Elephas maximus indicus: one gene and its partners. The protein of the gene in region 4 purifies or fractionates together with the protein of the main gene of each other region. This does not show direct contact. Links are inferred from orthologs where the notes say so. Each region holds a gene or a part of one and is shown on either strand. Other genes may lie near its edges. The genes, in order: G3BP1, IGF2BP3, G3BP2 and TRIM25.

Region 1 (8,525 bases), on a different chromosome or scaffold from region 4:
TTTAAAATATAAACCTAGTTTAACTGCCACAATGTGATCACTGACTACAGTTGCAGAATCTAAATTTAACTTGAGAGCTGAAGGACCGTACCGCTACTAGGAAAGGTTTCCCACTAGTTGTTGACACCTGGCCAGCCAAAGAAAAAAGGTCTACCTACTTTGACAATGATCCCCCTTTGTAAAGTTTCAAAGCATCCAGCCAATCATAGTTTTGTCCAGTCCAAGGCAGCCTTAAAACACAATATAATAAAACTTTTTTTTTTTTAGTAACACACAACGCCTATCTAAACTTCCAGATATTTTAAAAACCAATCTAATTGCAAAGCATTAAGAAAACACCAGTGGGCACTTTTATGAAACCAAAAAAAAAAGTTGGTTTAAGTCACAAATTCAGGCTTTACATTAAATCTCATCTTTTGAGCACTGGCCCATCTATCCTTCTACAAATCATACACAACTCACAAACTTATAAAAACTAACCTCTGCCCTTTACTTTCTGTGCAAAGCATTAAAATAAGTTCAAGTAAAAGATCCCTAATGTAAATTACAAAAATTGCTGCAAGGGTCACCAACGAACTTTACCAAATCTCCTGATGATCTCTTATTAAACTATTAGCTAAGAACAGCAAATCAAGTGTGAGGTAAAGAAAACCACTGCCTACTTTTCTACCTGTTAGAAGAGGTACGTCTGCTCCGATTTGAAAGGATTTAACTCTTAACAAAAGTACTAATGGCTTGATTGGAAAGTAAGGCTCAAGTCTTATATTATCACAATTTGCTTCATTTCGCTTGTTTTTGATAAATACATGCACAGCAGGCCAACTGGGGTACCAACAATAGGAACATCACTTAATTTTATTTCTCCCCAAATGACAGCAATTTGCCTGAGGCCAAAAACAGTATTTTGTTAATACTTGAAGGGATTACTGACAAAACTTTCCCTCAATTAATACATAGTTATTTCATCCCGATAATATTTAACCTCAAGTAGTACTAAAAATGGCTGGAATCAAATGTGTAGGTCTGTCATCATAGTGTGTCAATATTTGATAATCTAAATTGCTCATCTTAAGTCCTAAAACACTTATTTCACAGTTAATTCCTCTTTAAATGCAGGTAACAGAAATTGTTACACAACTGCAAGTTCCAAATAAAACAATGTTATATCCAAATGGAACTGTAATTTATGGCAACAACTAAACGTAAGAACTTGTCCACACAACATTCTGATCTTTTACTGCTACTTTTTGTTTAGAAACATGGGGGGAAGTACAAGGTAAAGGAAAACACATGCAAGTATTAAATCCCCTCATTGTCTTAACTTACAAAGAATGTACATAATGTGTACCCTCTGGCTGCAAAAACTCCTTAAAGAGCAATCCTAAAGAGTATGAGCGCATACAGTAAAAAGGACAATTTTTTTTAAAAAAGAAAAAAAAGCAGAACAGGTTGAAAGCCATTCAATTCAAAACTAATTTAGAACAGCTAATCCCAAAGCTTCTTTTGCAGTTTTGTCTTAGAGACACCTGTGATGCAAATTAATAATTTTGACTTGCAACTTAAGAACATTCATTATTTCATTAAGCCAAAGTGTATACAGGCTTTAAAAAATCTAACTCTGCTACAAAGATAAAAACTCAAGCCTTCGAAGATGAGAAAGGTGTGTTCCACTTTTTTGCGTCTACACAGGAGCAGAGTAAATGCTCAATAGCTGAATGTAGTAAGGCTTTCAACCACAGAAGATCCCAACTCCACAAGAGTACAATTTCCAACATACCCCTATCACCCGCGATTCATCTAGCATTTATAACCTCCAGAGGTCAAATTTATCCTGTAACGGGGAGCCATCCTTTCCATTCCAATTTTTAACCCACAGATACTGCTGAGATCTGAAACTCTTCATTCTAAACCTCATTTTCTTCAATTATAAAACGAGGAAGTTTAAACTACCTTCTCAAAGGTCTTTCTCAAAAATCTGCTCTGATTAAAAAAAAAAAAAAAGAAGGATTCAAGACCTACATATCAGAGTCTAACTTCCTGCTGGCGAGAATGTCCCATTACCTCGCTGAGTTTCAAATCTGATGAGGAACACAGTCCATGTTCGTCGGCATTTATTCATTTTTCTACTTTTTCCAGAAGCTGTTAGGGCAGCACATCCCTCAGCTATCCCAGCGAATACAGGCAAAAAGGGAAGCTCAAACCCTCTTTCTTTGTCATAATTCCACTTCCAACCTTTGATCATCTCCGTGGAAGGCCACCACTGGCCTCAAGTACAAATGCCGCAGAGACTTCTCGGCAATTGTGTCTTCCGAGGTGGATGCTGCCCCCAGTGACGCCTGCTCTCGGGGCAAAGGTGCCCTGGGACCGCACAAGCCGTTGGAGCAAAGAATAAAACAGGCTCGGGGGCTAGAAGTCAGGCAGCCTGAGTTGAAATACCTGTCCCTTACCGTCTGCGTACCTTTGGCCATGTCACTCCACCTAGGTGCTTTAAAGTCCGCTGTAAAACGAGGAAAACAATTGTACCTACCTCACTGGGTCGTTGGAAGGATTAAATGAAATACATACAAGTTGCTCAGCACAAAGCCTGGCCCAAAAGGAAGGGCTTAGAGACATTAGTTATTGTTATTGCTAATTCTCCATGCACAAGGCCGCTCGCTCTGTACTCCCTGGAAGGTCGAAAAATTCTGATCGCACTTGAAGGTCGCCCCTACCCCTCGCTCCCGGTCCGGGCCAAGTCTGAGCCTCTAGGCGCGGGGAGAAAACACTCGGCTGGCGCGTGGGATGGACAGAGGATGGATGGGGCGGGCGGCGGGAAAAGCCGGCCAGCCGGCTCGCAGTCCCTCCCTGGCCGCGCGAGGCTCCCGGCCCCCCGAGATGGCCCTGGGGCCCGGGCGGCGGCCGCGGCTCGCTCTCGCCCCGCGTGGCCGTTGGACGCGGCACGTGCACGCGGCGGCCACGGCCTCGCGCTCCGGACGGTGGGGGTAGGGGAGGCAGAGAGCCGCTGCGCGCGCCTGCGGCCGTTGGGGGGAAGGGGGGGCGCGCCTCGCGCCGCCGCCACGGCAGCCGCTCGGACCTCTCCGTCTAACAGCAGCCCCAGCTCGGCCTCGTCCTCGGGCGGCCCAGCCCCGCCCACGCCCCAGCCTACCTGCGCGGCTGAGCGGGAGAGGAACAAGCTCTGCTCCACAGTAGGACGGATGGCAGAGGACCCTCACGGAACTGCGTCCGCACACACGCGTGCTCCGCCGCCGGTGTATATAACCACGACTCAGCCTAACTTGTTGCGGCCAGGCCGGGCGAGCGGATGGCCAATCCCGAATGCGCCCTCTGGGCTCTTCGAACCACAATTGGATATTGACTCAGGGTGAAGGCGTGGCTCTTGATTGGCTTGGACTAGGGCGTATGAGACTGTAAGGATCGCGTTTCCCTAGTAACGGATTGGCACTCAGAAAAACCAATAACTTAAAGGTACAGTGAAAAGGAGGGTGGGAAGTTATGTGACCGATACCCGTAATAGCCAATAAATCCATGAAACTACTCTCATTCGCTAAAACGTCGTCCCCTGGGCGGAGATCCGTTTTCCACGCAGGAGCGGTTGCTCCACAAGGTGGGGCCCGTGTACTTTGGGGAAGTAAACCCCAAGTAACTAGGAGGTGGGCTGCAGAGAGGCCAAGGAAGTCCCTGGCCAATCGTAACGCCGGAAGGGGCTGATTGACGCGGGGGTTGGCTCCAAGGAGACCGAACCCCAGGGCCGCCGTGCCCTCTGGGGCGTTTATAGGAGTTTCCAGGCTCTGGCTTCTGTTCTCTTTCCTTTCTTTCTCTTGTTTGATCCGGCCCCAGGGTCCTTTTTCCCGCCTTTTCCGCACAGTTGGTACTAGGGGAACCAAGGGGTAAAATTCCCCGTTAAGTTTTTGTTTTTAATCTTTTATTTAATTTTTTTTTTTTTAATTTCTATGCGGCTGCCTAAGGGCACTTGCTGAGTCTTACCTTTAGCTAGCGCTATTGTTGGACTTGGACCACAGTTAAAGGAAAACAAAAGAAGAAAATAGTTTCTGTTGTGTGTGTAAGAAATGTAAAAAGATCACATGTGAAAACTACTGTTGAGTTTGAGAATGTATATGTCCACCCCATTCCCTCTTGGCAAATGCTGCGGTTGCTTAAACCAATGGTGGGCTTATGGGGGTTTTAATCAGACTTTCCATTTTGGTTGTTGCAGAGGGAACGTCTCCCGTCAAGTTTGGGCCTAATGCAACATCACATCTTGTGTGTGTCCCCAAGATTGTCATTCCTTTTTCTAATTGCTGTGTATACATGGGACTTGGAAGACTTGCTTTTTCTTCATGCCTTTGCATCTTTAGAAGATAACTTGTCCAACTCCTGCATGGATACTCCAAAGATTCCCCGAAACGGTTAGGCTAAATGGCCCTCCAGCCTGGTTCTGTCCGTGTGTCTTAGTATTTTGCTGTGTCCTTTGTTGGTCACCACAAGCATTTTATATAGGAATATGGTTGGTTCCAACACATTAGGCATAAACTCGCATTCTCATTCCAGGTATGTAAGCAGCTGGGAGGGTCTTCTTACATTTTGCCAATAACGTTGGAAATGAAGCAGGTGGAGCGTCTCTGGATGCAGAGAAAGGCCAAGCAGGATGGCCTAGCCAGGGCTGAAAGGAGAAATGGGCACCCGCCGCATCTGAACCAAATCCAGCCCTGCTCTTCCTCTCTGCACTGCCGGCCTGGCAGACGAGACTGGAGACCAGGGGAGGCCTCAGGAGCCATGAGAAAGGCCCCGCTGGTTCCCCCAGGTCTCACTCCCTTATCAGCCCTGCTTATTCAGTGTTGACTGAGTACCAGGGCTAGGAGTCAGAAATGATCAAGATGCTGTTCACTGTCACCCATTCAACAGAGGGGTGCAACACTGGGACACGGATCCCAAAACAGGCATCAAAGGGTCTGTGGGGGGAAAGGAAGGAAATCAGCCTACAGGAAAGAAGCAGCTAAAAAATGTCTGAGGTAAGGGACCTTAAGATCATGTAAGGCATGTGAAGGAATTTGGGCTTTATTCTGTAGGTGGAAGGTTTTTTCAAGGGTGGACTAAGGTTTACATTTTACAAAAATGACTGTACTGAGAGCAGATTGACAAAAATAAACAAGATTGGTAATTTAACCCAGGTGGCCTGTGATGTGGGAAATGGCTTCTCTTGATCACATTTGGAAGGAGTATTAAATGATACAGCTTATTTTATAAGGCAAGTAGGCAGTGTCTATTAAAATTGTGTGTGTCCCTAAATAAAATTCTACTTCTTGGTAGACAGGTACATTTGTTTACAGAGAGGCCTGTACCAGAGTGTTTATTGCAGCATCGTTAGAATACTTAGAAGTAGAATATTAAAATAATATTCGTCAATTGGCAAACTGTTTAACGGTGGTATACCTGTAATATAGGATACTTATGCAGTAGTTTAAAAAAAGAATATATGGATATGAACTGATGTCCACTTGTTAAATGGATTGTTAATTTAAAAAAAGTCATTCAATGAAACATACAGTGAAGTCCCATTTATGTCAAAAACAAAAAAAATGCTCATTTTGTATGTTAAAGTATATATGTAAATGTATGGGGAAAGTTCTGAATTTAAAATAAATTCAGTCATTACTCCTGGAGAGTTCAGTATGTAGGGAGGGATGAGGGTAATGTATCTGAAATGTTTACAATGGTACTGTGTTCACATACTGTGTTGTGTAATGGGAGGGAATGAGGGAGAGGAGGAAGGAAGGATTATGGGAGGGAGAATGTGGGCAAGACAACCCCTCAGATGGCTGTTGCTGTCTTTCATGGGAGAAAGGGAGTTAACATCCTCCCGTCAAAGCTTCCCCATCCAGATAAACCCTCTAGATCCAGACAATGGATATTTAGTAAATGTTCGGTAGTTAACTTACTACCAACAAATTGTCTAAAACGTGGTTGAGAGGTTGTCTCCAACATCCCCCCCCGCAAGGACATATTTGGCATTGTCACAGCTAGGTAGAGGCCACTGGCATCCAGTGAGTAGAGACCAGGAATACACAGGAGAACCCCCAAAACAGAGACTTATCCTGCCAAACCCCAATTATGTAGAGGTTGAGAAACCCTCGTCTATAGACCCATTTAAGTCATCTATGGGAGAATCTCAAGCCTTCTTCTGGTCTTTATCTCCGCTGCCAAGCAAGTTCTACAAACCCCTCCAGTACATTCTTTCACCCCTGCCTTTCTATCAGCTCTCCCGAGAGCTCTGAGAATCGGGGTGGAAGGAGAATGAACAAGACCCCAGAACATACAGTTTGATAGGAGGAGTGCAAGGGTGGTGGGAAATACTAACTAGGTAAGAAAAGTTTCTTGAATATCATCTGAATCAATGTTTCTCAAACATAGTTACTCATTTATGAAGAGTGATGAAAAATATGTGTGTATCTTTAACTGTTAAACTCCCACCTATGACCAAAGACCTAGTATAATAATTTTCATTGCAGCATTGTTTAAAGTAGAAGGAAACAGGAAACAACTCAAGTATCTAGCTACATGGTACTGATGAGATACAATGCTAAAATACAACACACTCTTACAGTGAACTGTCATGCAATCACAGAGAAAATGAGGTAGATCTACATGTATACTTGTAGTGAGATCACCAAGAGATATTGTTAAATGAAGAAAGCAAAATGAAGAATAATGGGAAGAGTGTGCCACCATTTGTGCAAAAAGAACAAATGGAGGCTATGTTGTTGTTAGGTGCCATTGAGTCAGCTGCAACTCACAGCAACCCTATGGACAACAGAAGGAAATACTGCCTGGTCCTGCGCCATACTCAAAGTCATTACTGTGTTTGAGCCCATCATTGCAGCCACTGTGTCAATCCATCTCGTCGAGGGTCTTCCTCTTTTTCTCTTCTTTTCCAGGGTCCCTGCTGATAACGTGTCCAAAGTATGTGAGATGAAGTCTTGACATCCTTGCTTCTAACAGACATTCTGGCTATATTTCTTCCAAGACAGATTTGTTCTTTCTTTTGGCAGTCCATGGTATATTCAGTATTATTTGCCAACATCATAATTCAAAGGCATCAATTCTTCTTCAGTCTTCCTTATTCATTGTCCAGCTTTCGTATGCTATGAGTCAGCTGAAAACACCATGGTTTGGGTCAGGCAGTTTAGTCATTAACGTGACATCTTTGCTTTTTAACACTTTAAAGAGGTCTTTAGCATCAGATTTGCCCGATGCGATACACCGTTTCATTTCCTGACGACTGCTTCCATGGGCGTTGATTGTGGATACAAGTAAAATGAAATCCTTGACAACTTCAATATTTTCTCCGTTTATCATGATGTTGCTTATTGGTCTAGTTGAGAGGATTTTTGTTTTATGTTGAAATGTAATCCATACTGGAGGCTGTAGTCTTTGATCTTCATCAATAAGTGCTTCAAGTCCTTTTCACTTCAGCAAGCAAGTTGCGGTATCTGCATATCACATGTTGTTAATGAGTCTTCATCCGATCCTGATGCCCTGTCCTTCTTTATATAGTCCAGTGTTATGGTTTGAATTGTGTCCCCAAAAATGTGTATCAACTTGGCTAGGCCATGATTCCCAATATTGTATGATTGCCCACCATTTTGTTATCTGATGTGATTTTCCTATGTGTTGTAAATCCTACCTCTATATGTTAATGAGGTGGGATTAGCATTAATTATGTTAATGAGGCAGGGCTCAATCTACAAGATTAGGTTGTATCTCAAACCAATCTCTTTTGAGATATAAAAGAGAAAAGAGATCAGAGAGGCAGGGGGACCTCATACCACCAAGAAAGCAATGCCAGGAGCAGGGCATGTCTTTTGGACCTGAGGTTCCTGCATTGAAAAGCTCCTAGTTGAGGAGAAGACTGATGACAAGGACCTTCCTCCAGAGCCGACAGACAGAGAAAGTCTTCCCCTGAGCTGGCACCCTAAATTCAGACTTCTAGCCTCCTAAACTGTGAGAGAATAAATTTCTCTTTGTTAAAGTAATCCACTTATGGTATTTCTTTTATAGCAGCACTAGATAACTAACAGTCCAGTTTCTTGGATTATTTGCTCAACATACAGATTGAACAAGTGTGGGAAAAGGATACAACCTTGATGCACACCTTTCCTGATTTTAAACCACATGGTATCCCTTTGTTCTGTTTGAACAACTGTCTCTTGGTCTACGTACAGGTTCTTCACAAGCATAATTAAGTGCTCTGAAGTTCCCATTCTTTGCAAAGCTATCCATAATTTGCTATGATCCACAGAGTTGAATGCCTTTGCATAGTCAATAAAACACAGGTAACACTGGTGGTGCTGCAGTAGTTAAAGCTATAGACTCCTAACTGAAAGGTCAGTGGTTCGAAACCACCAAGCGGCTCCAAAGGAGAAAAATGTGGCAGTCTGCTTCTGTAGAGATTTACAGCCTTGGAAACCCTATGGGGTTGCTATGAGTCGGAATCAACTTGATGGCAATGGGTTTTTTTTTTTTTTTCC
Region 2 (7,915 bases), on a different chromosome or scaffold from region 4:
CCAACAAGAACTAAATCTTTCGGGTCACATAAATCCCTTTCCAATTAACCTAATGAAAATTAAGTACATGAACAAGAGAAATTGACCAAAATCCAAACTAGCACTCCACCAAAAACAGAATTTGTGAAAATGCTTTACCTCCATAGCTCACTACCTAGAAACAGAGGTACAAAGATGACACACATAGCCATCCCTCTCTGCAGGGCACCAGGGAAATGTATAGCAAACCCTTCCTACCCTGCAGCACACACACCCTTACCATCAATGCCTAACCAGATACACACAGCCCTGGTTTAAATTAACTTCGAGTTTATTGTTTGGCCCTGGGAGTGGGGGATGGGAGGGGAAAAGCAGTAACCCTAACCCCACCTTGCAAAATCTAGGAAGACACAGGCCAACCCCAGCACCGCAAGGGAGCAGCGCCTTTCCAGTAAGAGAGAGCCGGGACAGTCTGCTGCTCTGGAGAAAGGAGCCATTTCTCCAAAATGCTTCAGAGGCTAAAACAGTCTCCAAAATATTCTGTCAAGTGACACTACACATGCTCTCAGAGAAGGAGAAATCCCCCTGCTTTTACGTAGCACAAATCATCAGAGTTCACGATCTCTCGGTGGTAGATTTGTAAACAAAAATGTCTTTCAAAAAAAAGGAAGCGGAGACAAAGGCGGTGTTTGCAGAAACCTATGTAACTTTGGAGGGACTGGAAGGCATTTCTAGGGTGGAGAAGCCCAAGCGTTCACTCACGTGTTCCAATCCCAGCTGGTGAGCTAACAGGGTAAAGGCAAATTCCTCTCCTCTCATGTGCCTAGGGCCTGGCAGACTCAGAGACTCATCGTCGCCAACTTGGCCAGAGAAGGGCGGGCATGCCACACCCGAGCATTTCTGCAGCTGCTTTCGCCTACCCAGTACCTACAGGCATCGGTCATCCACTGCTTACTGCTTGCTAAATCCCGGATTCCCAAAACACTCCCCTTGGAGACTTCATCTCCCCTTGCAGTAACTTGACCTGCTCTGCCAGAGAATATTTAGCTGTGAGAGCTTCCTTGAGAGACTGCTATATTCAACAACCTAGTTGCCGGGCCACAGACAACCCCTCTTTTCCTTCGCAGCATTACACACACACACAGCTGCCATAAACTTAAAAGTGAGGGGAAATGACGAGAAACGCCAAGCCACACAGCAGCCCGACAAGCATAGGAGGCAAAAAAAAAAAAAATTGTTTTCAGCTGTGTAAAAAAGGAGTCTTTCAGTAACGAATCCGTGACAAAAGAATTATTAAACTCACCTTTGCCTTTTTGGGACCGAGTGCTCAACTTCTATGAGTTTCCCATGCAGTTCCACTTTACCTGTGGGCACACAAGAAGTGGGAAACGTTTGGCTGGGTTCAGCGGCTCTTCGAACCCAAAGGACCCTCAACAGCCTATGCAGCGACGAGTGGCCTCCTGAGAGCCCGAAAGGCCCCCAAGCCCCGGACGCGGCTAAAGGCCGAGAGGGAACCCTACACTGTGCATGACCTCCCGGCTATGTGTGTGTGTGTGTGCTTAGTTTACAGATTTGTGGGGAGTGGGATCAACTGGCAGGCCCACTATTTCAGTAACATTCCACCCCCTCCCGACAAGCCTCCCCTGGCCACTCAGAGGGTCACCCAACCCCACAACACCCGCAAAATGGACGCGGCCCTCCTCCCACCTCCCTGGACACTCCCATACGACAAACGGAGGGAGAGGGGCTACATTAGCTTCTTTCAGGAGGGGGCGCACGGGCCTTTCACCCGGTTCAAGCCCAGGCCCGCCGGGAACACTTTGCGGTAGGGTTGGAAAGGACGAAGTGTAGCGGGAAAGGGTCGAGAGCGCGGCGGGGTAGAAGAGCGAACGCCCAGAGCTGCATCTCAGCCCAGACTGAACATCGCGCGAAGGTCGGCGCGGCGCCCATAACTGTACTGAGTTGATAAGGGGGACACCGAAAGGCACTGGGCTCGCAAAAGCACCCCCGCGTAGGTTCCCTGTTGGGAGTCCCAGCCCAAGACCGCCGCCCCGCCACGCACGGTCTCCTGCCCTCGCCAGGCACCACGGGCGCGCCGCCACTCCGGAGGCCGCAGCCGGGCGCCGGGTTCCGGAGAGCCGCCGGCGGCCCAGCGCCGCAGCGGGGGCTCCCTCGCCGGTTACAACCGGCCACCCCCGCCCACCTGCCCAGCTTGCTCGTCCGACAGAGTGCAGTTGAAAATGAAAGCCAGGTCGCACTCGCTCCCCTCCCGCAGGGTCGGGAGGAAGCGCGGGGCCGCCAGTGCAAGGCACTAGCCCGCGGCCTCACTCGGCTGAGAGATTCGAGCCTCTTTCCTTTCTCACACTGCCGGGGTCTGGGTGTCTGCAGCGAACCCAGCGCCATAAATAACGACCAGAGAAAGGAAGGCGAAGCAGGCATTCACACTCGCCCCCACCCCCCCCCCCGGCCCGGTGTGTGGAAACCGAGAGAACGCGCTTGGGCCCGGGCTGGGCGCGGTGGCAGCGCTGACGGGGGTCCGGTGCGGGCGGCCGCGCCCCCCATCCCCGCGCACGGGCTCCGCAGCCGCCCCTCGCGCCCCTCCTAGCCCTGGCCCTGGTTTTATTGACAGCGGGTCCACCTTCGCCCGGCAAACCCCGGTGGGGGAGGGGAGACGGGGGGGAGCGGAGCTAGAGCCAAATCTGAGAGCACCCCGACCCCACACGAGTGGACGCTCGGGCCTCACACCCTCCACCGGCTCCTCGCCGGGCCTGGGGCCCCGCGCGGACGCCCCGGCGGCAGCCACAGGCCTGACTCCGGGCACCCGACCTCGGCGGGCCGGGGCTGGCGGCGCAGGGCTGGGGCAGGCGCCCCGGTGGGGCCAGGCCGGGGCCCACCTGAAAGCGTCTCGATGGCCTTGAGGGCCCAGCTCTCGTCCGGGCAGTCCACGAACGCGTAGCCTGTCTTCACCAGGAAGGGTCCCGACACCGGGATCTTGGCGTCCTTGAAGATACTTTCTAGGTCCGAAGGAACGGCGTTCTCGTTGAGGTTTCCGATATACAGTTTGTTCATTGTGAAGACTGGTAGTTTAAAAAAACTAATAATAGAAAAACGAAAAATTAAAACCACCCACAATGGATGGATCTGGCGGTTTTGTTCCCCTCGTCTTTTCGCCTTTAAAATGCACAAACCCAGTAAAAAACAAGGGCGAGAACGGGGAGCGAAATATCAGGTCTGAAGGTTCTTGCTTCTCCTTTTCTAGGTACAAAAAAAGAAAAATGAAAAAGAAAAAGCCTTGCTACAACCCAGACGCATGAACGAGTCTTCCTAACTCTGAGGAGGAGGCGGGATTAGCGAGAGAAAAGAGGAGGAGGAGGGAAAAAAAAAACTACTTTTTGTCTCTTCCTCCCCAACCCCTTTGGCATCGGCCAGCGGACTGTGAAAATATCACACTACGTGAGGGCAGAGCGCCGCCTCCCCATAAAAAAACCCAGAAGGGTGACTGGCAGGAGCGAGGGGAGAGGGGGAGGAGGGAAGAAAGCGCAGGAGGCGGAAAAAATCCGCTCCGAGTGTCCGGCTTTTTGAATGAGCCACGTGTTCAAACTACAAATCAACGTCTCACGTGAGGAATCCCAGCGCCTCAATTAGAGTGGGTTTCGAGGAGTGGGGGGGAAAGAGCAAGCAGGAGGAGGAAGAGGGGGAGGGGAAACGAGATTAGGCAAGGGACTCTGAGGAGGGGGAGGAGGAAAAATGCTAAGGAAGCCGCAGCCGGGCGCCAGGCTAAGCGGGGAGCTGATTGTCACAACAAGAGTTTAGAAAGGGTTATCTGGTCGGGGCGGCTCCTGAGGGGCGGGGGTTGGAATGTTGATTTTTTTTTTTTTTTAATGAGTAAAAGAGTGGGAGTGCTAACTAGACGATTCCTCAACTCTGAGTTTTAATCATTCTGTTTTTAAAGTAGGTGATTAACAAAACTAGAGCCACAATTCTGAACTAGTCCTGTGGCTTTGATGACATTATGTGTAACCTCGGCAAAGCCACGAGCACGTTTCCACGGCTGCCAGGGGCGGAAACGCAGAGAGGGGGTGGGGTGGGTGCGGACGGAGAGACGGCAGAAGCGCCCCGTTCTCTTCACCCCTCCCGGCCCGGGGAAACGAGAGCGCCTGTCTGCAGGATCCCAGGGCCGGGGCTGTGGGGGATGGGAGCCAGCGACGTCCTGGGCGGGTATCTGGGCGACACCTCCTCCGCCTCCGCCTCCGCCTCCGCCTCCGCTCCCTGTGGCTCTCGGCTGCGCGTTTGCCATTGGTTGCGCGTTTCAGAAAAGGCTCGGGGATAAATGAGGCCGGGGGCGGGCGCGGCCACCGGTGGGGGAGGGGGAGAGGAGGGCGGAGGTTTCTGGTTTAGGGATGGGGCCGTCGGGGGCTTTGGAGGCTGAGGGAGAGAAGTCAGAGTGGGAAAAGTCGATACTTAAAGGGAAACTCTCTCTTCCTGTAGCTTCTAGAGCGGGGGGAGGAGTAAGTAGGGTGGTACTTTTATTTAAATAATTTTAGTTGTCGAACTAGAGACTGTTAAAACAGGAAGACCGCTCTGCGTTACCTCTAGCTGGTAATCGCCTTTGCAAAATTTGTACGAGTCTCCTTCTGCTTCTTTTTCTGCTAGCGTTTGGGCATGAGAGCCATTCATAATTTTCCATGTAAGGAGTACAAAGGTGGGTCTGTGGGGGAGGGTCTGGGCACAGTGAAGCCTTCCAGGCCGACGAAACGTGGACTGGGGACGAGGAATACGGAAAGGAAGGCAGTGCTGGGGTGCTTGGGGAAATCTGGAAGTGTCGTTTAATAATTGTCTACCACTCAAAGGCTTCATTTGTACCATATACTTGTGGTATATGTTTTTAACAGGTATTCCATGGGAAAGACACAAATGTTAACCTTTTTAAGTGAATGAAATTGTCTATAGCATGGAAATATAAACAAGAAATTTTAATGACTTGATAATCTTATCGGTAGAAAAAGATGTATTGTGTAATAGAGAAAATAATGTGATTTAACTGGAAACATCTTAAACAATTACAACTGATGTAGTTCGTTTCTTTGTCGAAATCGTGTGTGTCATTTAAAAAAATTTTTTTTTATTAACACGATGTAATTTCCAGGGATAAAAGATGAATGGCAGATTATAAAAGACAAACAGGAATATATTGCATTAAGTATTTACCTTTTGTCTTTTAAAAGGAACTTATAAGTTTGTCTTATTTTAACTGGAAGGTGTCAGATCATCCATTTTATGTGCAACTGTTTTAACAGGTTTTTCTTTCCAGCCAAGCAAATCCACTTTTTTAAATGTATACTCACATTCACAATATTTTCATTGACGGTTAATTTAATGAAATGCTTTTACTTTATGAGATGGGGGACAAACATGTAACAGTGTTTAGAACTATATTATGAGCCCTATCTTGAAAAAACGTTTTGGTGGTGAAATTCAAGTTTATAGTTAGGTTTAACTTTAAAAGAAAGTTTTTGTGTGTGTTTTAAAGGAACCATGGTTGTAAAAAAGAAAAACATACGTCTTCTCCCTTATGACTTCTTTGGTATGCAAATGTAAATATCAAAATATATTTCTTTTTCGTGTACCTGTTGCATGTGATCAAAACTATTTGGAGAAATGTGCACTTAATAATCTTTGCTTTTTCTAAATGTTACTTTAAATTTTACAGACAAGTCTGTTGATCGTTTAATTCTTTTAGTAATTTTTCTGTAAGAACAAATTTTGTATGTTCAGCTTGCTTTCTAAATCGATTGGTGACTGATGGATTATTGATTGTATTTGCCCTTATTAAAACTAAGACCTAAATACTTCTAAAGCATGGGGTGGATGATTTATTTTCCATAACACTAGCCCATGCCAGTCTGTCACTATCAAACCTATAACAGCTGGAATTTAAAACAAAATGTGTGTTGTTTTGATGAAATATGTACCTGGGACTCTTGTGAACTTAATCTATTATTGTAACAAAATGGATACCCCATCTAGGATCTTAAAAACATACACATTATATAAGCTCAGACACTAACAAAAGGAGGTCGCTATATAGGCCAGTCCACTTCGAATCTTCCAAGCATTTGAGGAATAAGTATAATAAGCTCAATAGCAGAGCAAAAAGAGCATGAGTATTTTTTATTGGCACTTTAAGTACAAAAATATCTTTAGATTTTCAAGAGTCAGTATAAGGTCAATTTAACTTCCAGTATTCCACTACGTGTCACACAAGAAATTAACTGTGTATAGGCTACTCCAGATTCCTCCTGAAGCAGTTGTAGCTCCTAGTTAATGTTGATGACATGAAAAAAGGACTCCCACCGATTATTGTATCTCAGTTGCGGCTGAGTTTTTCCATCTGCAGCCTGTTTACTCTTTGGACAGCTGCACCTCCTTATCTGCTGATCTAATCGCAATAAAAATGTTTAGGGGGTCAGTGTGACATTAAGGGAGAAAAACTATGTTGAGAAGATCGGTTACCATTGCTGTATCCACAGGTTATCTGCGAGGGCTGCGCAGGAAGGGGAAAGGACATTCCTGTTCCTACCCGTCCTTCCTCCCAGCTGCCGTGAGACAAGCTGGGAGCCTAAGCCCTTCATGCGGGTGGGCACACAATGCCCGCCGCGTCGCATGGGCCTCACAGGAGGTATTTTAACACGCTCTTGCTCCTTCGAATGGCTCTCCTGGACTCTGATCTGTTTAAACCAGAGGCGTGATAAGGGGTAACGTGACTCTCCAGAATCTACCTTCGTTTATTATCGTTTGAAATTAAAAATGGTGCCCCGGGAGACGAGAAGATGGGGGTTGTTTCCTTTTTCCTCTGGCTCTTCCCCGAGAAAGAGGGCGGGATCCTTACAGCACACTGGGGAAGGTCCTTCGTCGGCCGCCTGCTCGCCACGAAGGGCCTTGACCATTGATCCACCTTCCCCCGGGCCTCGCCTCGGGTCCCGTCACTCGGCGCGGAGCCGCAAGGCCGGTGGGACGTGAGCGCCGGGAGAAACCTCAGTCGTTTCCTCGGCGGCACGACTCCACCTGAAGTCCTCCTTCCCCCGCGGCCCGACAGACCAAGCAGCGTGTTTGACGGCCTTCCCGCACCTCCGGCCTCAGCTTCATGTGTGCGAGGGACTGCCTGGCGCAAGGGGATGCTTGGTACCCACGGAAAAAGGCAAAAAGCCATCACCGAACCCTGCGCCTCTGTCCGGGGCGGGGCGGGGCAGCAAGATGCGCGCACAGGGCGCGCAAACGCGGCCCCGGGGCGGGGCTCCCGCGCTCCGCGAGGCTGACTCGCCGAGACCAAGTTGAGCAACCGGCGTCGAGAGAAACACCGCCCCTGGCTGAAGGAGGGGGCGGGGGGCTTCTCCCTCTTATCCGATTGGTGCAGAAAGGGAGCCTATCACCGTCGGCTACCTCCGCCGGATTCGTTTGCTGGTTTCCATTCATTGGCCCCCGAGCAGCCCCTGGATTTCCATCTTTTGTGGCGCGAAAATAACCCTTTGCTCCCTCTCGATGGTTTTGTTGTTGAGGAGTGAGATTCTTACTCTCATTTCTCCCTACCCTATTAACTGCTTGCTCCCAGCTCCAATCCCCAGGGAGGAAAGAAGATGGTAGCTGAAAGGGAGGTGTAGAAAATAGTTCTGCGGTGTGTGGACCCCGCCCCCTGGGCTGACCGCGTGGTGCCCGCACAATTCCTTTCCCTTCCCCCAACGTCCAGCGACCGGAGGTCGTCGGTTTGCGCCATGCTCAGCAACTGGAGTCACATTTTCGTTTCCCTGCCTGTTTCCAACATCTTAGAATTTATATATATATTTTTTTTTCTTCTTGTAAAAACAACCAAAAAATGCGTTTCCAGTTGCCTGGACTTCCCTTGGCTTCTAGAGAAATTCACTCGTCCTGCCCCCTCCCT
Region 3 (7,950 bases), on a different chromosome or scaffold from region 4:
GGTCTCGAAGAAGCAATAGGTGAAGGAAAAAAAAAAAAAGATTTCAAATCTATGAATTTTGTTAGTTGCCAGGTTTTGTTTAGGAAAAAAAAATATATATATATATATGTTTTTATTTACCCAAATTAAAATTTAGGATTCTTTGTGCATTTTCATGATGCATGGCATTCTTATTCTGAATTCTTAAATTTATGAAAGAAGTATAATGGTGTAAGTCCTACAGTCACAATTTTTTCATGTTTTCTCTTTATTTAACAAATGGTTCTTGAACATCTACAATGTTAAAAGAATTATGTGAGATGACTAAAGGATACAAACAGGAATAAGAGGTGGTCCCTGGCTTTTCTCTATAAAATCAGTGAGAGCAGATTAATACATAACCCCCTTTCTCTTAAATAAGGAGTCCATTTCATGGTTGCTGTGTAGTGATGATACCTCTGCTTTCATTTGGGGGACAAATGAGCAACTGCCCTCTCTCTGCATCCCCTTGAGGGTAGAGGTAGCAAGCAGCTCCACCTTCCCTTCATCCCCCTTTCTGAGACGCCAGAACAGAAGCAAGACTGAGAGGCCAGGGAACTTGACCCTGCCCTCATCTCCTCTGCACTCAACTGTCCATGCCCCCTGCTCCTAATCCTTCCTTTCCAGGCGATACTGTTAGGGAAGAAACAGGTCAAATGAAGTAAAAACTCACATTAGCTTGTTAGTGATGGCTATGGGTTGAATTGTGTCCTCCAAAAAAGATATATGGAAATTCTAACCCCGAATACCTGTGAACGTGACCTTATTTGGAAATAGGGTCTTTGCAAATGCAATCAAGTTAAGATGAAGTCATCAGGACATCCATATGGCTGGTGTCCTTATAAGAAGAGGAGAAGAGACACAGACACACAGGAGAATACCCTGTGATGATGGAGATAGACTGGCGTTACCAGTTACGCTGCCACAAGCAAAGGAGCACCTGGGGCTATCGGAAGCAGGAAGAGACAAGGAAGTATCTTCCCCTAGAGCCTTCAGAGAGAACATGGTGCTGCTGACACCCTGAATTGGGTCTTCTAGCCTCCAGAACTGTGAAAGAATAAATTTCTGTTGTTTAAAGCCACTCAATTCGTGGTGTTTTGTTACAGCAGACCTTGGAAGCTAATACAGTGACCTACTGTACACACCACAGTTTAAAACACAGTCAGATATATGACAAGGCTGGCATCTTAGGACACCTTTGCTAACAAGTCAAGGCACTGTTATTTATTACCAAATAATATGCACAGTAGACATCTGTGAGCCCCACTTCATCTTGGAGCCTCATCCCCAACAATGCAGAGTGGGACTTAGGGAAGAGGTGAGGCTCAGGAAGGAGTAGGGCTCAGGAAGGGGAGAGGCTTAGAGAATGGGTGAGGTTGTTTTTGTACTCACTACTTGGTAATAAAAATGCAGAGCATTTATTGGTTACCTTTTTTAGGTGACAACAAAATCACCCTATAGAAAATGTCTGAAGCAAAACGTCAAGTGTCTGGTTTTAAAGTAGAGGACGATGTTTAGCATGCAGTACTTTTGGCGGTATGATCCCACCATTCTCCACATGGTCCAGGCTTAAAATCTTGGCCTTAGGAAAAGGACTTACACCACAACCTTTGTGATATGTGTTACCTACAATTCCACTTACAGGTGACAATATTCATATAGTTTTTCAATGATTTACTCATTGATGCAACAACATCACCTTCTACGAGACAGTGAAAAAGAGATGCAAAAATGAGTAACACAGTCCCTGCCCTTAACAATTTAGTTTAACAAGCATTTACTGAGTGCCTGCTATATATTAATAACTGCAAAGTGCTAGTATATAGATATACGTTTGAATTTCAGGAAAAGCTCTGAGGAGATGATGAGAGAGTTGAGTGTTAAGAACTAGCAGGAGTTTGCTTGAAGAAGAGGAGAGAGGGGAAGGGACCATCTAGGCATAATAATGGCCTGAGTATGTGGGAGAAATGGGAGCTGGCAAGGCAGGCAGGAGCCAGATCATAGGAGGTGCTGTATGCCAAGGTAAGGAGTTTGGATTTTATTATGGAGAGAACATGGACCCACTAGATGGTTTTATAAACAAGAGTGACTGAACAGATGTTTTGTCGTTGTTGGGCTTGGTCAGCAGTGGACTAGACACCAGAATGGAGGGAAGCCAGGGTTGCAAGCAGACAGAGGAGTTAGAAGGCTCTTGCCATAATTGTGAGAAATGATGGGAATATAAACTATGTCAGAGGCAGAGAGGATGAAGAGCAGAGTATCTATTCGGGAAATATTCTATAAACAGAAACCATAGGACTTGACTATTGGACAAGTGGGTTGAAATTCAGAGTCTAAGATTCCTCCCAGCTTCTTCCTTTGGCTTAGGCAATCATTTGGACAGTGGTACTATTGATCACTGTAGGTAGGGCACACAGTGGAAGAAGTACATTGATTTTTTTTTTTTTCCTTAAGCGAGGCTAGGAAAGATGAGTTCAATTTTAAATGCTGACTCGAGACCAGCAGGGAATTCAAACGAGAGGGGCATGCGTCAGTTAGCTAACTAGACCCTGTGCCTTTTAACCTCAAAAAATTTACGAGACTTTTCCAGAAGGATGTGTACCTGGCAACTTCATTGCGAAAAGAACAAGGCATGCCTACTTCAAAAAAATGGCATTTTTCCAAGTTAAGAAAAAAAGAACACTACAAATGCGGGAGTTGAGAGTTAATAATACAACGTTTTGCTACCAATTGCCAAATTGACAGTCCAGATCAATCTACTTCTCTACGAAGCTAAATGCAAGGTTCAATGTTTCCTTCTTACACACTTGAAAATAGCGGTGTACCTGGTGTTTAGATCTAGGAATTCCTTCTAGCAGGCTTGAAGAGCAACAGCTGAGAAATGCGCCCTCCAGTGGCCGAGGAAGGAGGGGGCTCTAGCACCCTTTTTACCACCAAACAAAGCCCTGTGAAGAAATACAATTTACTAAGATCAGAAGGCCACAGCGCTCGTACTGCTAAACCTCAAACAGGCGTTTCCAGGGACCTGGACACCTTACCTGTCACGTCGGCCGGGGGAAAATTTCGCTTTCGACTCAACAAAATACGACCCCAGACTTGACAGCCTGCAGTAAGCCCCGCTCCGCGACAATTAAAAACCTAGCAAGCCAAAACGCGCAGACTATCTGGATCGCCTCCTACGGGCTGGGCTGGGCTACGGCCACGTGGGTGGCTGGGGCTAGCAGGAGCTGCCCTCAAAGGGAGGGAGTGGAGGCGTGGCCCTGCGGCGGGAGGCGGGGCCTGGGCACCGGGCGGGGCTTGGGTGGCCCTCCTGAGGCGGGCCTCTTTTAGCCTACTCTCCCCCTTTGCCTTCGCCCTTCGAGCCGCCACGTAATGCCACGTCCCCGCGCATGCGCGTCTCGGCCGGTGGTGGAGGCTGTTTCCGGGCTTCGGGGGCTGGAGCGGCCGCCGAGTAAGAGGTGGTGGTGCCGGCGGCCGGCTAGGGCAGGGTGCGGGCTTGGGGGCCAGGCACTGCGAAAGACAGGAGAAGTTGTCTTCTTTTCTATTCCGCAGGGGCTGGTAGAGCCCGTGACTGAGCGGCAAGATGAATTTCCTCCGCGGGGTAATGGGGGGTCAGAGTGCCGGACCCCAGCACACCGAAGCCGAGACGGTGAGAGGAGCGACGGATCCGGGACTTGGGCAGGGTCCAGGCAGGGACTGGGGCGGAGAACTCGGAGGCCTGGAGGGTCGCCTCCTTAGCTCCATCGTGGGTTGGGGTCCCCACGCCGGCTCCCCCCTTGCCTCCCTTCCTCTCCTGAGACCCCGGAGTTATCCGCTCACACCCCCAACGCAGCCCCCACCGCGGCGACTCGGCCAGGCTGACAGCCGCGCCCCGCAGCTCTGCAGGCCCAACGAGGAGGTGGTCCTCGGGTGATACCGCCCGGGAAAGGGACGAATCCCGGGCAGAGGTTGCCTGACCTATCTCCCACGCCCCTCGAGGCCCGGGGCTCCTCCCTCCTTCCCTTTTGTGGGTGTCTCTACACCGCCAGAGAGGGACCTGAAGTCCTGCTCTCTCCTTCGCAGTCTGGAATCAGGGAGTTGGGGAAGACTGCAAGAAGGTTTAAAACCCAGCTGTTGACCAGAGCATGTGGCTAAGAATAAAACGCTAGTTTGGGGCACAAAGCCACCTGCTCCTGTCTCTTCAACTGGAAGGAAGGTCGTTTTTCGAGGTGATATAAGTTCAAACACCGCTTTTTCGGCTCACCTAAATATTTTTTTAAATATATGTCATTTGGTAAATAACTTGTTTGGGCGTTGTAGGGAATCTTTCGCGCTCAAACGGCATTGGAGACACATCTGCTTTCTCTCATTCATCCCGGTCTGAACTCCTGGTGACACGATTTGCAGCGTCATTTAAAAAAAATTGTTAGTACCTGAAAACGGTATTTGATCGTTGCTTATCTTGCAGGTTTAAATTTAATTTTGAAGTTTGGTAAGTGCCTCCTGAAAATGAGTATGTAAGACATTTAAAAAAAAATAAACTTTTTACTTCTGAGTAGTTCTAAGTTTACAAAAAAGTGGCATAACTTTGTTGCTAGGCTCCAGAAGAATAGTTAGGAGTAGCTTTCATTCGTCAAGCTCTTACCTTGAGCTAGGTACTGTGCTGAGCTCTTTATATTCTACATTCTCCTTTAATCTTTAACAACCCTGCAAGATAGATGATAGTATCCTCATTTTACAAGGGAAGAAATGAAGGTTAGAGAAGTCAAGTAACAGCTGGGATTCAACCTGAGTTTGCCTTACTCTAAAGCCTAGACTTCACTCCTGAAGCCCATATTTTAATACTTAGATGGAAAGAAGTTTGGACATTTATATAATGCAAGTAACATTAGCTGCACAGATCTAAGTTAGAACTGTTTAAAGCAGAAGCTGAAAATAAGATTTATTTTTCTCTCATACACACGCAACTAGTATTTGGCTTCTCTTGGCCTTTTTTTTTTTTTTTTGTCCATTCCCACATGGCCACAAGACAGCTGAGCTGTCCTATTAGAAGAACATGCTCTCAAAAAAAAAAAAAAAAGGGAACATGCTGTTTCCAGATTACCACAGTCGCTCTCTCCAGATTACTGTAGCCATGGCCTACCTTTTTAGTTTTTTTTTTCCCCCCCATTTACTTTACTTGTCTGGCATTTATGTTAGAGACCCCAAGTTTTAAAGTGTGGCTTATTAGAGCTTGTTTTGGAGTTAGACCTTTATTGGAATCCTGGCCTTGCACCCTCTGATGGGACTGCACAGGCAAGAGTTGGCTGATATCCTGTAAAGTGAGAAGTGCCTGCTCTTCAGGGTTATAATGAGGATTAAGTGAAATAAGAAATGGAGCCTGACACTTTGTAGGTGCTCAATAAGAGGTAGTTTTTATTACATATGGGTTAGAGGAAGAATACCTTCTTTTTTTTGTTGTTGCTAGTTTTCCTTGTCATGGTGGCTTCTACAGAAAAGGTATAGAATTCATAGGGTATGGGATTTTAAAGCTGGAAGGACCTTTAGAGATCATTCAGGTCTAACCCCCTTATCTTCCAGGATAGGAAGTTGAGGCACAGAACCCTAAAGGTGTTTGCACCGTAATTCAGAGTTGGGATTAGAAGAACACTTTGATCTTACTACAGTGAATGGGACAACATAGTTTTTAATGTCATGGTTTCAGAATGAAGCTTGAGTATCATTTGTGTATATAAACTAAAAGGAAAGTAAGGGTGCTTGATCTTGCCTAGCTTTAAGGATAAATACACTCAAAATTAGGAAAGTAGTCTGTTACAGTATGAATAAAATTTGTTTCACTATCATTCCATAAGTAGGTATAGCAGGTATGAGGAGTCATGGGTTACTAATTAAAAGTATTTATGTAGCATCAGTAGAATGTAGTACAATATTAGACTTTTTATTGGTGAGTTGATCTAGCCTGGATATTTGAGTTGCTAGAGCTTAGAACCTCTACCTTCTATACACCCACTTCTCCCTTATCGATATGGTTAGATTTCATAGAAAATTGACATTATGCAAAAATGGAGGATGACTACATCATGACATAACTGCCATATTGCATCATTTACATAACTACCAAATTACATCATTACATAACTGCCAAGCCACTGAGAATCATGGCCTAGCCAAGTTGACATATAATCTTAACCATCACAACCAGCATTATCCTTTGCCTCACATCTCGGCATTTGTTACTGCCAGATGTTTGTCATTAATGCACAAAATAGTTGGAGGGTAGAGTTTTTACTACTGTAAATGTGAAATGTCAGATAACGAGAGTCCTTCAGTGAGGGGTAGGTGTATTATCATTTTGTAATTTTTTTATTTCTGTGAAATCAAATTATTTTCACTGTGGCTTTCCATCTCTCTCTTTTTCACATGAAAGTTTTCTTTTCTTACCTCTGTCTGAATTCTACCTGTTCTTCAAATCTCATCATAAATGCCTTCTGTAATTTGCACCCTTCTTTCCCCCACCAGACTGCAGATAATCTTTATCATCTGAGCTTTCTTTGGATTTTAACTGGGTTATTAATTTCTTATGCTTCCTACCACTGTCTACCATTTATATATGTTTCATTCTTAAGTTACTTAAGAAACTTAAGACTCTTGAGTTTCTTTAGGGCAAGTTTCATATAGATTTTAATCTTTGTTTTTCCATAGTAATAGATGCTCAATAAATATTTGTTAAATGAATTAATTATAGTTTTGTATGAAATAAGTCACAGATCTATAATCATAAAAAAAAATAATAATCACAGCTTATAAATTCCTAGGTTCTAAAACAGTATTTTTTAAAGACAGTAGAAATCAAAGTTATGGAATGACTGAAGTTCATTATGTCAGACTTTTTACTAATTCTGCTTTGACTGCTTTCCTGCTTTTTCTTCATGTCTTCTAAATGTGTGAGAGTTATATTACTGACTGTATAGTAACTAGCTTTTCTTACCCTACCCAGAGTTAAGCTCGGGACTGCTGTTAATATTAATGCTCTTCAGAACTAATAAAGTATTAATTGACATGATAGTCAATAATTGTACAAAGTCCTGGATGTTTTAAGTGCAGAATTTTTATCCATGTTTTATCATATTTTAGAGTCAAGTACTTTTTAATTTGATGTCTCTTATTTACTTCAGGTAGAGAAAAGACAGTAATTTCTGATGCTTGAAGCCTCCTTAGCCATGACATACTTTGCTGGGTGAAAATAAACACTATCATAGTAAAAATTCTACTCGTGCTTTTAAATGCTCATGACTAAAATTTCTATCTACCTTCCAACTAGTATCTTTTTTAAAAACTAGTTTCTTGAAAAAAAACAAGTATAGACTATAAAAAAAAAAATATGTAGTGATAAATCACAAGGCATTTTATGTTCTCAGATTGGATCCTGAGGGCATAAAAGTTGATAAAGTCCAGGAAAAGTACAGAATATCTATACTGCTATGGTGTCTCTTCTTAGATCGAACTTGGATCAGCTGGGTCAGAAAGCAAAAGGGCCAATAATGCAGGGACAGCTTGTACTTTCTTTTAATAAAAATTGTTATTAAGGAATGTGGGCTTAAATTTAGACATACCTGTGGTTTGGTCGAGCACATTTTATACTGTGTTACTATAAATGTATAGTCTGAAACTCCTATTTGAGTTGATGTTTCATATTCTTCTTTAATAACCAGGTCAATGTCATAACTGATGGGTGTTTTCTCTCAGCTAGTCTTGCAGTAATTATGTCAGAGAAAACCATAATGATTTGTGTTTTGATCACTTATATCCAACCACAGACATCCCTTATATTCTTTTAAGTAGTATCTGTTGAGTACTGCATGGCTTATGCAGATTGTTTAGGGTGGTTTAAAAAAAAAAAAAAGAGAATCGTTTAAATTTTAAACGCCCTAGTGTTACCAAAGTGTGTTCCGA
Region 4 (7,809 bases):
CGCAGCTCTTAACCACATCACCAGGGTTTCCTCCAGCACTATAGTCTGACAATATTCTGTTGTGACCCTAAGTTTTCATTGACTACTTTTTGAAAGTAGATTGCCAGGCCTTTCTTTCTAGTCTGTCTTAGTCTGGAAGCGCCACTGAAATCTGTCCACCATGGGTGATCCTGATGGTATTTGAAATACCGGTGGCCTAGCTTTGGGTTTTTTTAGCTTTCAGCAAAAGAGTGCTGGTGCCGCAAACAGTTAAGCGCTCAGCTGCTAACCAAAGGAGAAAGACCTGGTAATCTGTTTCCATCCAGATTACAGCCAAGAAAACCTTATGGGACAGTTCTACTCTGTCACATGGGGTCACTATGAGTCAAAATCAACTCAATGGCACCCAACAACAACAAAATGCTTCCAGCATCACAGCAACACGCAAGCCACCACAGTATGACAGACAGACAGATGATGGAACCTCCTGATGTTATTGTTGTTAGGTGACGTCAAGTCCGTTCCGACTCATAGTTACCCTGTATATGAGAACAAAGCACTGCCCGGTCCTCTGCCATCCTCACAGTCGTTGTTATGCTTGAGGCTATTGTTGCAGCCACTGCGTCAGTCCATTTTGATGATGGTCTTCCTCTCTTTCCGTGGCCCTCTACTTTACCAAACATGATGTCCTTTTCCAGGGACTGGTCCCTCCTGATAACATGTCCAAAGTACAGGAGACAAAGTCTCACCATCCTTGCTTCTAAGTAGCATTCTGGCTGTACTTCTTCCAAGACAGATTTGTTCATTCTTTTGGCAGTCCATGGGATATGCAATATTCTTCGCCAACACCATAATTCAAAGGCATCAATTCTTCAGTGTCCTTTATTCATTGCCCAGCTTTTGCATGCATATAGACTATTGAAAACACCACAGCTTGGGTCAGGCACACCTTAGTCCTCAAAGTGACATCTTTGCTTTCTAACACTTTAAAGAGGTCTTTTGCAGCAGATTTGCCCAGTGTAATACGTTGTTTGATTTCTTGACTGCTTCCACGCGCATTGATTGTGGATCCAAGCAAAATGAAATCCTTGACAACTTCGATCTTATCTTCGTTTATCGTGATGTTGCTTATTGTCCAGTTGCAAAGATTTTGTTTTATGTTGAGGTGTAATCCATATTGAAGGCTGTGGTCTTTGATCTTCATCAATAAGTGTTTCAAGTCCTCTTCACTTTCAGCAAGCAAGGTTGTGTCATCTGTGTAACGCAGGTTGTTAATGAGTCTTCCTCCAATCCTGATGCTGCACTCGTCTTCATGTAGTCCAGCTTCTCAGGTTATTTGCTTGGCATACAGATTGAACAGGTATGGTGAAAGGATACAACCCTGATGCATTACTATTCCTTTTTATGATTTCCCAGCTAGGACACAGGGCTGGGATTCAAACCCAGCTCTCTCTCAACACCCAGCTCTGGCCTGGAGAAACAGATAAGGCCAAGGAAGGGCTGTAACCTGAATGGGGGAGGCCTGTACTCTGAACTCAGCAGTGCTGCAACCCCCGCCCCCAGCCCTCCCCGACCTCACCCCGGCCTCATGTCTCCTTTAACAAAACAAAAAGAGCCCTTGTTCTATCTGACAGTGCCGGGAGCATGAAATAAAATAAGGCCAAGCTTTGGAACTTACAGTGGTATACAATTCAAGGTGGTTTCATTACATCTTTCAGCCTCTGCCTGGAGTCCACAGAGAAAAGGTATGATCCCTCCAAACCACTAAGAAGATCACAGACCAAGGTCCCTTAGGAATCCACCTAGTCTCACCTCCTCATTTCACTGACGAGGCCCCAAGCCACAGACCACATCCTTTGCTCAAAGTCACACAATAAGGAGGCGGTGCTATGGTGCCACAGGGCTGGTGCTCCCTATGGTCACATCCAGGGATTCCTGGGGCTCCCCACACCCTCTCCGACCTCTAATAAGAACAACTCTCCCTGGTCAACAGAACTCTCCGGGTCCCCAGAGGTGTTTGCTTACATGACCTTAAGCCTCTGGAAATGTCCCGTGCTCTGGACTCTCCAGACCTACAGATCTGAGGTTGATCCATGGAGAGAAATCACACAGTGTGTAGTCAAACCAACTTGGGTCCCAATGTCCACTCCGCCCCTTGCTGTATTAAACTAAAAAAAAAAACAACCAAACCCCCACTGCCATCCAGTCGATTCCAGCTCACAGCAACCCTACAGGACAGAGTAGAACTGCCTCATGGGGTTTCCAAGGCTGTAACCTTCATCGAAGCAGACTGCTGCATTTTTCCACTGCAGGGTAGCAAGTGATTTCAAACAGCCAACAATTCGGTTAGCAGCCAAGCGCTTTAACCACTGTGCCACCAGGGCTCTTACTGCATTACCTGGGGCTAGATTAATCTCTCTGGACCTCAGTTTCCTCAACTGTAAATGAAAATACTAAGACTCATCTCCTAGGCGCTCGCAGAACTTACTGAAGGACAGAAGTAACCTCCAGGGCTTAGAGTTAACATTCAAAACCATCTACGAAACACCATTAGACAAGCACAAGGCTTAAGGAAAGCTACTTCGGCTGTGTCTTCTGTTTTCCTCTCTGTAAAATGGGTGTATGTTGGGGGGCCAGGTATACATGGTGGGAGAGGCCTGTATCATCCCCAGCTCCTTTCTCCTGTGACATTCGGGATACCCCTGCCCTCCATCTCAGGCCCAGCAAAGCCTATACCCCCAGAGCATTCAAGGTGCGGCAGAGAGGCCCAGGGAGCACGGCCTCTGTGCAGCCCCACCAGCCCTCCGTGGCGCCCCTACCTCCAGGTCGGTGCTGGCCTGGCTCAGCGGCGCCGGCGAGCAGGCCTTGTGCTCCACCAGGCAGATATGGCAAATGCACTCGCCGTGCTCGGGGCAGAAGAATTCTCGCAGCCGGTTGTGCTGAGAACACTTGCGGCGCATCAGGTCGCGGATAGGCGGCTGCAGCGGATGGTCCTGGAAGACTGGGCTGTCGAGGTGCGGCTGCAGGTGCTCCTGGCAGAAGGAGGCCATGCACACGAGGCACGTCTTGGCGGCGGCCGCCTTGAGGCAGTGGTCGCAGGCCACCTTTTCGGGCAGGCTGGGGGCCGCGGTGCGCACGGGCAGCGTCCAGCCGTCGACAGACACCTCCCGGGCCTGCTCGGCGCTCAGGAACTGCTCCACCACGGCGCACAGCACCGTGTTCTTCTGGAGCTGCGGCCGCGCCTGGTAGACGGCGCGGCACTGCGGGCACCGGTACGGCGAGCCCTGGACGGCCCACGTCTCGTCCAGGCACGATGCGCAGAAGTTGTGGCCGCACGGCGTGGTCACCGGCACCTTGAAGGGCTCCAGGCAGATGGAGCACGACAGCTCCTCCGCCAGCGGGTTCAACTCCGCCATAGCGCTCCTCCGGAGGGGCACGACACGTTAGAACCCAGGCTGCTGCACTGTGGCACGGAAGCTGTGAGGAAACGAAACTGATCGGGGCCGGGGCGGTCCCCGCAGCCTCTCGGAAGTCACGTGGGGCGCGGGCTGGTCGGCTGGCTGGCTGCCGGGGGTGAGGGGGCGGGCCGCATCCGGCCCCCGTGCGGGCGGCGGACTGGCAGTCCAGGGGAGGGTCAGCGGCGGAACGGCCCGTATAGCTTCCGCCCGGTGGGCGCGGGGCTTTTTGGGGCCACTGTGCGGACGATGAACTCGAGGGATGCGGAGGCCTGGACCCCAGCCAGAGCCGAGGTCCAGTCGGCCTTCCGCAGACTGTTTTTGTTTTTTCTGCGGGGGGCTCGGGGGTGTGGATGCTCCATCAGCATACAGCCCTTGGAGTTTGGAGCTCACACCCACGCTCAGACTTAAACTGGGTGACTTCTTTCCATTCCACCAATCTAACAGGATTTTATTTTTAATTCTCATTTCTACTTTCCTGGAGTTTGGAGACATCCAGTTTAATGAAAGGTTTACACACACTCACACACATCTGTAACATTAGAGCTTAAACATTTTTCTAAAAATTGCTTATTTAAATTTCATTTAATATTTAGCTCTATTTTTCCCCTTCTCTGGCCTGGGTACAGGAAAAATGAGTGGACAAGAGGCTAGACGAGTTCAAGAGAGGAGACGGGATGGTGGTAATGAGAAAGATTGTGTATTGGGAGGGGTTAATTGGAGTTTGCTTTAGGTACAGAGTGGATGGCAAAAATGAGAAAAAGGTAAATGCCTTAAAAAAAAAAACCTTAGACTACTGCTAATAGTGATAGCGGAGCCCTGGTGACGCAGTGGTTAACAGCTCGGCTGCTAAGCAAAAAGGCTAGCAGTTCAAATCCACCAGCTGCTCCTTGGAAACCCTATGGGGCAGTTTTACGTTGCTTCGTAGGGTCACTATGAATGGTAATAGTAATAGTAATCCAAAAAGTAATTATTTGTTTATATGCAACCTACTGTATACTAGGTAAATCACATATATTAGCCATAATCTTTATAAAGAAGCCCTGGTGCTGCAATGGTAAAGCGCTGGGGTGCTAACCTAAAGGTTGGAGGTTTGAACCCACTCACCGGCTCCACAAGAGACAGATTTGGCAATCAGCTGATGATCTGCTTTGGTAAAGATTATAGCCAAGGTAACCTTATGGGGCTGTTCTATTCTGTCACATGCAGTCCCCATGAGTCAAATCTACTCTACAGTACACAGCAACAACCCAAAAGAGCAGTGGCTGTCAAGTCGATTCCGACTTACAGTGACCTATGGGACAAAGTAGACTCGCCCCACAGGGTTTCTGAGGCTGCAGGTTTAAATGGCCAGTCTTCCGGTGAGAAACCAAGCACCAGGGCTTGTCCCACCAGGGGTCCTTTTACAATAACAACAATCCTTATAAATTCTGCAAGACAGATGTCATTGTGTCCATTTTACAGATGAGGGTCAGATAACTTCCAGAAAGCAAGACTAAAATTCTAGCCAAGGACTGCTTAACTCAATATTCTACTCCCTGGTTCCCATAATTCTCATCCAGCAGGCTCCTATTCCTCCAGGATCCTTTACTCAATTTGTTCTCTTTCATTATGGGTTTTTTGTTGTTGATGGTGTTTTTGTTTTTTTGCATGGGGGAGAGAAGAAGGATGAGGGAGTGCAGGAAATTAAAATTTGTTGATAATAAATCTTAGTTCTTACAACAGATCTTTGCAGTAGGTATAATTATCTCATGTTACAGCTGAGGAAGCCCTGGTGGTGCAACGGTTAAGCACTCAGCTGCTAACTGAAAGGTTAAAGTTCAAACCCACCAGCCGCTCCGTAGGAGAAAGATGTGACAGTCTGCTTTCGTAATCTTCCGTAAAGATTACAGCCATGGAAACCCTATGGGGCAGTTTTATCCTGTCCTATAAAAAAAAAAAAAAAAAATTTTTTTTTTTTTAATAGGGTTGTTATGAGTCAGAATCAAGTCATCGGCAACAGGTTGAGGAAATGGAGGCTTAGAAAAACTAAACAACTAGCAAAAAGATGGAAACAACCTAAGTGCCCATCAATAGACAATGATAAACGAATTATGGTATATTCGTACAGTGGAATACTACACAGTGATAAAAAAGAATGATGAATCCAAGAAACATCTCACAACATGGATAAATCTGCAAGGCATTATGCTGAGTGAAATTAGTCAGCTGCAAAAGGACAAATATTGTATGAGACCACTATTATAAGTACTCAAGAAAAGGTTTAAACACAGAAGAAAACATTCTTTAATGGTGATGAGGATGGGGAGGGAGGGAGAGGGGAATTCACTAACTAGATAGTAGACAAGAGTTATCTTAGGTGAAGGGAAGGACAACACACAATACAGGGGAAGTCAGCACAACTGGACTAAACCAAAAACTAAGACGTTTCCTGAACACAACCAAATACTTCAAGGGACAGAGTAGCAGGAGCTGGAGTCTGAAGACCATGGTTTCGGGGAACATCTAGGTCAATAGGCATAACAAAGTTTATGAAGAAAACATTCTGCATCCTACTTTGAAGATTGGCATCTGGGGTCTTAAACGCTAGATGCATCAATTGGTCTCAGCCCACCTGGGGCAAAGGAGAATGAAGAACACCAAAGACACAAGGAAAATATTAGCCCAAGAGACAAAAGGGCCACATAAACCAGAGACTCTATCAGCCTGAGACCAGAAGAGCTATGACCAATGACCACCCTGACGGGGAACACAACAGAGAGGCCCTGACAGAGCAGAAGAAAAGTGGGGTTCAAAACTCAAATTCACGTAAAAAGACGAGACTTAACGGTCTGACTGAATCTAGAGGAACTCCAGAAGACATGGCCCCTAGATTCTCTATTAACCCAGAACTAAAACCATTTCTGAAGCCAACTCTTCAAAGATTAGACTGGACTTTAAAACATAAAATAATACTTGTAAAAGTGTGCTTCTTAGTTCAAGTAGATACACGAGACTAAATGGGCAGCTCGTGTCCGGAGGAGGGATGAGAAGGCAGAAAGGGACAGGAGCTGGTTGAATGGACATAGTTGGGGGTGGAAAGGGGCAGCATGTTGTCACATTATAGGTATTGCAACTAGGGCTGCATAACAATATGTGTATAAGTTTTTGTGTGAGAAACTAACTTGAGCTGTAAATTTCCACCCAAAGCACAATTTTTTTTTAAACTATCGTATCTAAGACAATGGATATTGGCACTCAGATTATTTGCCGGAAGCTAGACCCTTATTACTATAACATGCTGCCTTCCAAGGAGGAGTGGGGCGTTTCCAGGAAACAAACACTATGAAATTCCCCATGACCAGGCTCACATGGGTGAACTGGCCCGGTGACTCATGCCAGAATGTTTGTGGAACTCTCTTTCTAGGTGGAGAGGTTTAGAAGGGCTGGTTGAACAGTGAAGATGACTAGGAGGGATTTCTTTATCAAATTCAGTACTTTTAGACCTGTTATACAGCAGTGATGGTACTGGCTGCTGGAGGGATCAAATGTGAGTCTAACAGAGGCCTGCCTTCTAATATAAGGGAGAAGAAGAGAGCACAAAGCAGAAAAGGGAAATAGGGTGAGAGGTCAATTCCTGCTGGGAAGATGGACTCCTCATTTGAAAAATCGGAAACCTGATAATACCTTTTTCCTGGGGATGTTGTGGAAACAGCAAGTAAAGCACACTAATGCGGGTGGGAATCCAGTTGCCATGCAGTCCGTTCCGACTCACAGCCACCCAGTGTATTTCAGAGTAGAACTGCGCACTATGATTTTTCAGAAGTAGATAGCTGGGCTTTTCTTCTGAGGCACCTCTGGGTAGATTCGAACAGTCTTTCAGTCAGCAACCCATTGCCCTCAAGTCCGTTTTGACTCACAGTGAGTTCATGTGTTACAGAGTAGGACTGCTCCATGAGGTTTTCTTGGCTGTAATCTTTATAGAAGTAGACCACCAGGCCTTTCTTCCATGGTGCCCCTGGGTGTGTTTGAACCATCAACCTTTAGGTTAGTAGCCGAGCACTTAGCCATTTGCACCACCCAGGACCTCCACCAGTAGAAATAAATGTTAACCGCCGTGATGGGCTAGTGGAGGCCCAGAGAGTGTATGTGGGCTGGAGAGTGTGTTTATCATTAGTAACCTCAGCTGAGCAACATTCTCGAGTCAAATGTGATCCCAGCTAGTCACAAGGGACCAAGATGGTCCAGTCCAGCAGATGACTGGCTATCTTAACCAGATTCCCAGTCTGCATCTGTAGGTTGGAAGAATTAGGTGGGGTAATAAACCTCATTTACCTAAAATATACTTTTTTCTAAATTTTATTTTATTGTTGAGAATATACACAGCAAAACATAC

What was found.
Region 1: the proteins of TRIM25 (region 4) and G3BP1 purify together in Homo sapiens (affinity purification with mass spectrometry; 4 studies listed by BioGRID and IntAct, with this or other methods). This does not show direct contact. The link is inferred for Elephas maximus indicus from reciprocal best matches to the Homo sapiens genes TRIM25 and G3BP1.
Region 2: the proteins of TRIM25 (region 4) and IGF2BP3 purify together in Homo sapiens (affinity purification with western blotting; 3 studies listed by BioGRID, with this or other methods). This does not show direct contact. The link is inferred for Elephas maximus indicus from reciprocal best matches to the Homo sapiens genes TRIM25 and IGF2BP3.
Region 3: the proteins of TRIM25 (region 4) and G3BP2 purify together in Homo sapiens (affinity purification with mass spectrometry; 4 studies listed by BioGRID and IntAct, counting the BioPlex papers as one, with this or other methods). This does not show direct contact. The link is inferred for Elephas maximus indicus from reciprocal best matches to the Homo sapiens genes TRIM25 and G3BP2.

The regions. Positions count from the first base shown.
Region 1 is NC_064820.1:167,398,390-167,406,914, reverse strand, and holds the start of G3BP1 (ras GTPase-activating protein-binding protein 1), read right to left. Parts: upstream 3,258-8,525; 5' UTR 3,146-3,257; intron 1-3,145. UniProt on the Homo sapiens protein: Protein involved in various processes, such as stress granule formation and innate immunity. Plays an essential role in stress granule formation.
Region 2 is NC_064826.1:84,499,210-84,507,124, forward strand, and holds the start of IGF2BP3 (insulin-like growth factor 2 mRNA-binding protein 3), read right to left. Parts: upstream 3,479-7,915; 5' UTR 3,049-3,478; coding exon 2,874-3,048; intron 1,344-2,873; coding exon 1,283-1,343; intron 1-1,282. UniProt on the Homo sapiens protein: RNA-binding factor that may recruit target transcripts to cytoplasmic protein-RNA complexes (mRNPs). This transcript 'caging' into mRNPs allows mRNA transport and transient storage.
Region 3 is NC_064823.1:81,673,070-81,681,019, reverse strand, and holds the start of G3BP2 (ras GTPase-activating protein-binding protein 2), read right to left. Parts: upstream 3,233-7,950; 5' UTR 3,057-3,232; intron 2,964-3,056; 5' UTR 2,844-2,963; intron 1-2,843. Other genes in the region: USO1 (general vesicular transport factor p115), read left to right, coding at 3,602-3,667.
Region 4 is NC_064837.1:37,144,117-37,151,925, reverse strand, and holds the start of TRIM25 (E3 ubiquitin/ISG15 ligase TRIM25), read right to left. Parts: upstream 3,477-7,809; 5' UTR 3,396-3,476; coding exon 2,799-3,395; intron 1-2,798.